Linked DNA regions of Oryctolagus cuniculus. The protein of the gene in region 1 purifies or fractionates together with the protein of each later gene. This does not show direct contact. Links are inferred from orthologs where the notes say so. Each region holds a gene or a part of one and is shown in the gene's direction. Other genes may lie near its edges.

Region 1 (3,516 bases):
TGGCCATAGCAGAGAGCTGGCCTGGAAGAGGGGCAACCGGGACAGAATCCGGCGCCCCAACCGGGACTAGAACCCGGTGTGCCGGCGCCGCAAGGTGGAGGATTAGCCTATTGAGCCACGGCGCCGGCTTAATGCTGTTCTTAAATTAGGAAATTAACTTGTATAATTGGGTAATTAAAAATATTTTTAAGCTCCGTAATAATTTTCATGATCCTTTGGAAAATAAAGAGTAAAATACTAATGTGGCATCACTGTGTAGGTCTAACTTCATAAAGACTCCTCCCTGGTGCGTATTGGAGCTAAGAGCTCAGCACCTGGCTCTTGGAAGGCGCTCACTACTTATTATCATCCGTGAGCTTTTCTGGGAAAGTGAAGGAAAGTGTGATGTCATCATGAAAAGTTACGTTCTTCTCAACTCTCACATCTGATAGTTGCGTCTGACTACTTAGTGTGTGCTCCAGTCCTAAGTTACTGAACAGTGTAGCTTAGTTGGAGTCAAAGTGGTTTTTTAGTTTTTTTTTTTTTTTTTTTTTTTTTTAATTTATTTGAAAGAGTTACAGAGAGAGGTAGAGACAGAGAGAGAGAGGTCTTTCATCTGCTGGTTCACTCCCCAGATGGCTGTAACGGCCAGAGCTGTGCTGATCCGAAGCCAGGAGTCAGAAGCCTCTTCCTGGTCTCCCACGCAGGTGCAGGGGCCCAAGGACATGGGCCATCTTCTACTGCTTTCCCAGGCCACAGCAGAGAGCTGGATGGGAACAGAAGCAGCCAGGACTAGAACCAGCGCCCATATGGGATGCTGGCAGTTCAGGCCAGGGCGTTAACCTGCTGCACCACAGCACTGGCCCCAGAGTGACAGTGTTTTAATACACTGCTAGACAGACACACGTGTACTTTTAGAAGTTTGAGATTTGAAGAAAAAACCTGAGCTGTATGCTGTTTGTGAGTAAATATCAAATCCAGATTATATTTACTTTTTTGTGCATTCTCTTCCTTTCCTTAAACAAAATAGCTACGTCCGTGCAGCGAGCCGAATAAAGCCAGAATGTGGCACATCATCCTGTCTGAGAGGTGAACCCCACTGAGTCAACATGGCTGACAGGGGGAAGCTGGTTCCAGGACAAGTGTATATCGAAGTGGAATATGACTATGAGTATGAAGCGAAGGACAGGAAGATCGTGATCAAGCAGGGCGAGCGGTACATGTTGGTGAAAAAGACCAACGACGACTGGTGGCAGGTCAAGCCGGATGAGAGCTCCAAAGCCTTCTACGTGCCAGCCCAGTACGTGAAGGAGGTCACGCGAAAAGCTCTGATGCCGCCCGTTAAGCCGCCGGTGGGACTGCCCAGCAATTCCGTAAAGATGATACAGAGTCTGCCCCTGCAGAGGTCGACAGAAAATGTGAACAAGCTGCCCGAGCTCTCGAGCTTCGGAAAGCCGGCGTCCGTTCAAGGAACCGGTCTCGTCCGTGATGCCAATCAGAATTTCGGACCCAGTTACAATGCAGGTCAGACCCTCAACCTCAGCCTGGACCTGACCCACAATAACGGGAAGTTCACCCATGACTCTCACTCTCCTAAAGTGCCCAGCCAGAACAGGACACGCTTATTCGGTCACTTTCCCGGCCCGGAGTTCCTGGACGTGGAGAAAACGAGCTTCTCCCAGGAGCAGTCGTGTGATTCTGCGGGAGAAGGCTCGGAAAAGGTCCACCAGGACTCGGAGTCCGGGGACGAGCTGAGCAGCAGCTCCACTGAGCAGATCAGGGTAAGCGGAAACCGAGATGCAGCCCCGCGCCTCCTTAATAAAAGTCATGGATTCTTCTCGTAATTAAGGTCTTTGTAGGCCTTAAGACTTGCGTGTTGCTCGGGATTTTCAGGACACGTGGGCCTTATCCTGATTTAGAGCTAGACAATAGGTGACGTAACTTGTGGAGCTCCTAGAGGCCACCTTGTGGCTTTTGCGATTCTTCTCGCACCCCTGCAGAGCTGGCGCACTGTAGATCAGTGTGGACGGCTTTTCTGTATGTAGACTGCGCATGAAGCAGAAAGGACTGCTTTATACAGCGATGGCTTTTCTTTCACTGGGAAAGGCTTTACTGTGTCTGGCAGTACTCTTCCGGACTTGCTTGCAGTAGTTGCTGGGTGATAGTATGTAGATGAGGAAAGACGTCACCAGACTGTTGACATTTGTTCTGTGGAACTTGTTTATTAACCTTGAGTGCCAAAAAAAAAAAAAAAAATAGCTCATGCCCCTTTATCTTCATTCATGTGCTTTTGTGTCTGAAGTGTCATTATTCAGAATTGATGGCATTGAATTATTAGCCCAGAAACAATCTTGCATCCGTCATTTTTTTATATGATTTTTTTCATTATGCAACTTTCTTTTGAGATTAGATCTATGCCAGTTTATTTCTCAAGTGATGGGAAGTCATTTTAAAAAAAATCGTGTGGGGGGCTGGTGCCGGGGCTCACTTGGTTAATCCTCCGCCTGCAGTGCCGGCACCCCAAGTTCTAGTCCCGGTTGGGGCACCGGATTCTGTCCCGGTTGCTCCTCTTCCAGTCCAGCTCTCTGCTGTGGCCCAGGAAGGCAGTGGAGGATGGCCCAAGTGCTTGGGTCCTGCACCCACATGGGAGACCAGGAGGAAGCACCCGGCTCCTGGCTTCGGATCAGTGCAGTGCTGACCATAGCAGCCATTTAGGGGGGTGAACCAATGGAAGGAAGACCTTTCTCTCTGTCTATCTCTCTCTCTATAACTCTACCTGTCAAAAAAAAAAAAAAAAAAGTGTGAAATCCAAACTTGGACATATTTGGAAATGTCCCATTTTAAGTGAGTTTAATAATTAGTGACTTTTGGCCTCAGACTCTGTTGTCAGATTCCTCATCAGGTTAAGGCCGTGAATAACCGTGAGGCTGGTCGTAGGTGTGGTCTGAATGCCGTGCAAGTACATTCTTTCCGTGGGCTGTAATTTGTAACACTTGGGGATGGAAATAGGGAAAAGGGGAGATTGTCTAGAGAAACTTCTGGTGTTTGCTTGTGACCAGGGCGGCTCCGCAGAGTCGCACCGTCAGTTTCGTCCTCGTCGTCTTCCCAGGCCTGTCTTCAGTCTGTGTGATGCTCAGACGCGGAGTACGTGGTGCTTGCTGGCTCCTTGTGCACCTGACGGGCCTTGGAAGCACACGTGTCTTCTGTTCCTTCCAGCCATCACCACCGCTTCCTACTTGACGTTATGTTAGTGACATACGCCAGCTGTTCCGTACCCTCTTCCTGCTTGCCATCTCACGTCCATGGCACTGGAGGTTCATGGCTCCTGACCTCTCCTGGGGCCTTAACACTCTTGCAGGAAGTCCTCCTGGATTTCCCAAGCCAGCCCCGTTTCCAGCTCTGCAGGGCAACTGCGTGAAACCCGGGCTGTTTCCTTTTTTCACGTGTTTTACCCTGCTCCTAGCAGATAGCCCTGCCTTCTGCCTCACCGTCAGAATAGAAGCTGTGGCGTGGGAGCGCCTTTGGCCTTGGGGAGCG
Region 2 (4,084 bases), on another chromosome or scaffold:
GTCATGTTGTTCCCTCTTCAAAGTCTGACTGGGTTTCGGAGGAATCTGAAACACTTAGAGCCAAACCACCAAGCCGCATCCCCAGGTAAAGCACCCCCAAAATGTGGCATTTCCGTGGGAAACCACAGTGATTCACTCGCACGGGCCATCCAGTCTGTCTGTGCAGAGGTTGACTGCTTTTCCCCAAGCTTCTGAAACCCAGCGTGATTTTCAAACACCCCCTGCCCCAGCCCCACGTCCTGACTCCCAGGTTCAGGGCAAACGCCCACATTTGCGGGAGTTTCAGATTTCACCAGAAGGGGGTCCGGCCCCAGCTACTAACCTTTTCCTCTGCAGAGAGCAGTTGCCGAAATGCTGCAAAGAAGAATAATCACCCAATCGTTAGGAGGAAACACCGCTGGCTGCCTCTGGCTCTGTAAGTTGGCACAGATAAGCCCGGGGCACACCCCACAAGTTAAAGTCCTCTTTTCTCTCGAGTCGCTGCACGGCAATAGCAAGAATAGCATGGCTAAACACTTGGTTTCCAAATCGAACCTCTGTCTTATTTGAGGACATTGAGGCTCGGAGAAGTGACTCAAGGTTACCACAGGGGGAAGAAAAAAGGTAGAGCCATCTGCATCCCGGATCAGGGACCCCAGCCCTCACGATGCTGTCCACACTACCACTACTTGTGCACCGGGCAACATGAAGAAAACTGCAGGGACAAAGCGAGGCGAAGTCATTTCTTTGATCAAAACTGGGGAGCAAACCTCACAGCACCGGAGTGAGGCTGAGGTCCTCTGGCGCTGTTCCGGCCTTGGACAGGCACCTCCCAAGGCCAAGGTTTTCCGGGGATAAATCCCACCCCTTCCACCGCCCGGCGAGGCGCAGGGAAGCCAGCGGGGGAGAGGGGACCCGGGGGCAGGACGCCCGCCGCCGCAGGGGAGCCGGAGACCCCGCGCGTCCCCAGCCGCTGCGGCCACTGCGCCCCGGTGCCTGCGTGCCGGCGGGCCAAGGGTTAAGTGAGGCGGGAGCCCCCGGCGCGGAGCGGCCCGGGCCGGGAATGCTTAGTCAGGATTCCGATTTCCTGTCGAAGTGTTTGGATTTCCTGAAACCCGCGCCCTCCGCCGCCGAGCGGGATCGTGCGAGCCGCTCGCGCCGCCGCCTCCTCCCCCTTGCACATGGTCGCCCGCCCCTTCCTGCGCCGCGCTCGGCTCCCGCGCCTCGCCTCGCCTCGCCGCCGCCGCGGGCGGCCACTCTGCGCTCGGGCAGCCCGGCCCGCGCCTCCCGCCCCGCCGGCTGTCCGCCGGCCGCAGCCCGGTTCCGACCCGAGAGCCGCGAACGCCCGGCCGAGGGCTGCCGGGGCGCGGGCGTGTGCGCCGCCGCTGGGGAGCCGGCGCCGAGCCCGCGATGGAATAATGCCCAGCCGCCCGCCCGGTCCCGGTGAGTTGCGGGCACCCGGGCGGGCTTGGCGGGGCCGGGCGGGCTGGCCCGCGGTCGCTTGACCCCGCGCTCGGCGGGGCCGGGCCGGGGCGCCGGGTGGGCTGGCGGGTCCTTTCCCGGAGAGGCGTCCCGCTCTGGCGGGGTCGGAGCGGGGAGGAGGGCAGTGTGCTGTGCGCACGGCCGCGCTCTGCAGGGCCGCCGAGGCCGCCCAGGGGCTCCGCGTCCCCGGCTCGGGAGAGGGGGCCTGGGCTGCGCGCGCGGGAGCCCCGGCTCTGCAGAGGCGCCGCGATGGGGGCGGGGGCCGCCCTGGGTGGCTGGGCGCCCCCTTCCTCGAGGGAGGCCGGGGCAGCGCGCCTGGCGCCGGGGACCCCGCCGTGGGGGCGCCCTCCGGCGCGGAGGCGCGGGCGCTTGGCCGCGGCATTGTCTCTCTGGCGTGGTCGGGAAAGTTCCCCGCCCGGACACGGCGCTGCCACGCAGGCCCTAGGCCACTTGCTCCAAACCAGAGAAAGGAAACGAAGGGAAAAGTGAGGGGAAATTTCCCCCGTGGGGCTCGGCGTCTCCTCGCGGGAAGTACAGGGTGGTGTGTTCCGCTTGGATCACTTGGGGGACCTGCTGCTTTTGCTGAAAGCAACAAGAAGTTTAAAAGAAAGAAACTCGCGGGCGTCCGGCGGCTTCTCCCGCACGCCCTAAGCGGTTTCTCCAGTCATGCAGCGGGCCCCGTGGGCCACTGCTGGCCGGCGTTAACTTGACCTCAGCCTTGGCTGTCCCTGTCAGGGGAACCCCGACTCCCTCTCCCTTGGCGCACCCTCCCCCACCAGGTCTGCCCAGCGGGGTTGTCTAGGCACAGTTGATTCTGGGATGACCACAGGACCGGGATTGTAAAACCACGTTTAGGCCGGCTGTATGTCTGTTGGACATACACCTCGCCCCGAGGCGTTCACGCTTGGCGATTTGAGGGCTGCTGGGTGGCAGGCGTTACGTCCAGTCTGGGGACGTCCATGCAACAGTCTGAACCTTGAGAACAACCGTGTCAGCTTCTTGTTGTTCCACAGATGAGGGCCAGGGAGCCGACCTGAGTTGCCTATGGCCACGGTCAATGGCTAGTGGGTGGCAAGGCCAGGACTGGTTTCTGAGTCTTGGAACCGAACCCTGTGCCTGCATCGCATTAAGGTCTGCAGCCATGGGCAGGATTGAACAGAGGTGCGTGCCTTGCCGCCCTCACCTGTGTGGCGCCTTCTGTTCTCTCTTACCTGTCCCTGCTGTTTGTGAGACGTTCCGTTATCTCAAAATTCGTATTTGAGGAGGAGGGTTAAAAAATTGCCCAACGCTTACTGTTCAACCTCCAGATGGACCTGAAATACAAATGGGTGGCTTATTACATGGGAAGTTACCTTTCTCCATCCCATTCTTTTGTGGAAAATTGAAAGCTCTCAAGTCCACAATAAGGGCGGTGTCGTAGCACGTAGCGTACCCTATGATGTTCTCTGGGGTTCATTTCCAGCACTCCTCTTTCTTGTGAGCTAAGCCATCCATCTATTTTTCTTCTCACGAGAGCGCTGATGGCTGGGTTTTTGTTTTTAGTAGGTGATCATGTTGAGAGAAAGGACTTTTTTTTTTTTTTTTTTGCAAGCTTGCCATTTGGTGAAAGAAATTGAAATTCACTCCACCTCTCCAGTCCTTACAAGCCGCACTGAGCCAGATTTTCACAATTGCTGTGAGCCTTGCAGACCAAGGATGGATGTGTGCATTCAGATCAAGTCCTGTGTGGAAGAAGGGAACTCGTGTTCGCTGGGGCAGCTGCTCCAGCATCGTCCCTATCGACTCATCCCTCGTGTTTGAGCGGATCCTACCCACCCCATCCCTCCTTGTTTCTGGACCTCACTTCTCTCCTGTCCACTATATCTGGCATGGGCTCAAGAATGAATGAATAATCTCCACACAGGCAATAGTGACAGTAACAGCTGGCATTTGTTGAGTAATTGCTGGATGCCCTAGACTCTTTTTAAGAAATACATATATTTATTTATTTGAAAGGCAGAGAGAGAGAGAGAGAGAGAGAGAGATTGATTGAGAGATTGAGAGATTGAGTTTCCATCCGCTGGTTCACTTCTCAGGTAGCTGCAATGGCTGAGGCTGGGCCAGGCAGAATTCAGGGGCCAGGAGCTTCTTCCTGGTTTGCTTTGTGGTTGCAGGTACCCAAGCATTTGGGCCATCTCCCGCTGCTTTCCCAGGCCCGTTAGCGGGGAGCTGGATTGGAAGAGGAGCAGCTGAGACTTGAACTGTCGCCCATGTGGGATGCCAGTGCCACAGGCAGCAGTTTTATCTGCTATAATGTAGCGCTGGCCCTTCCTTGCCCTAGGCTCTTAAAGAAGTCCCTTGGAGGAGAGGAACCCCTTTGAGAGGCGTGTCCAGAAAAGACTGCACTTTTCAGATTTATCTGGAATTGAGTCACTCTTCCTTGTGTCCAGTAAACATTTGCTAAGTGTCTGTCTCCCTGGAGGAGGCACCGGTCAGTCAGAGAGGAAGAGCATGGTGTTTCCAAGGCTTTCTCATTCCAGCGTCATCTTTCAGTGTCAGCCTCACAATTTTAATAATCAATTCAGCAAGCATGTATTGAGCACCTGCTCCCTGGGAAGCCCCCCTTGTGCGTCCTGATGAGACA

Evidence for each region. The genes of interacting proteins can lie anywhere in the genome.
Region 2: the proteins of ARHGAP12 (region 1) and ASAP1 purify together in Homo sapiens (co-immunoprecipitation; 3 studies listed by BioGRID and IntAct, with this or other methods). This does not show direct contact. The link is inferred for Oryctolagus cuniculus from reciprocal best matches to the Homo sapiens genes ARHGAP12 and ASAP1.

What each region holds. Positions count from the first base shown.
Region 1 is NC_091444.1:102,358,554-102,362,069, reverse strand, and holds part of ARHGAP12 (rho GTPase-activating protein 12), read left to right. Parts: intron 1-1,009; 5' UTR 1,010-1,088; coding exon 1,089-1,760; intron 1,761-3,516. UniProt on the Homo sapiens protein: GTPase activator for the Rho-type GTPases by converting them to an inactive GDP-bound state.
Region 2 is NC_091437.1:156,098,513-156,102,596, reverse strand, and holds the start of ASAP1 (arf-GAP with SH3 domain, ANK repeat and PH domain-containing protein 1), read left to right. Parts: upstream 1-1,283; 5' UTR 1,284-1,422; intron 1,423-4,084. UniProt on the Homo sapiens protein: Possesses phosphatidylinositol 4,5-bisphosphate-dependent GTPase-activating protein activity for ARF1 (ADP ribosylation factor 1) and ARF5 and a lesser activity towards ARF6.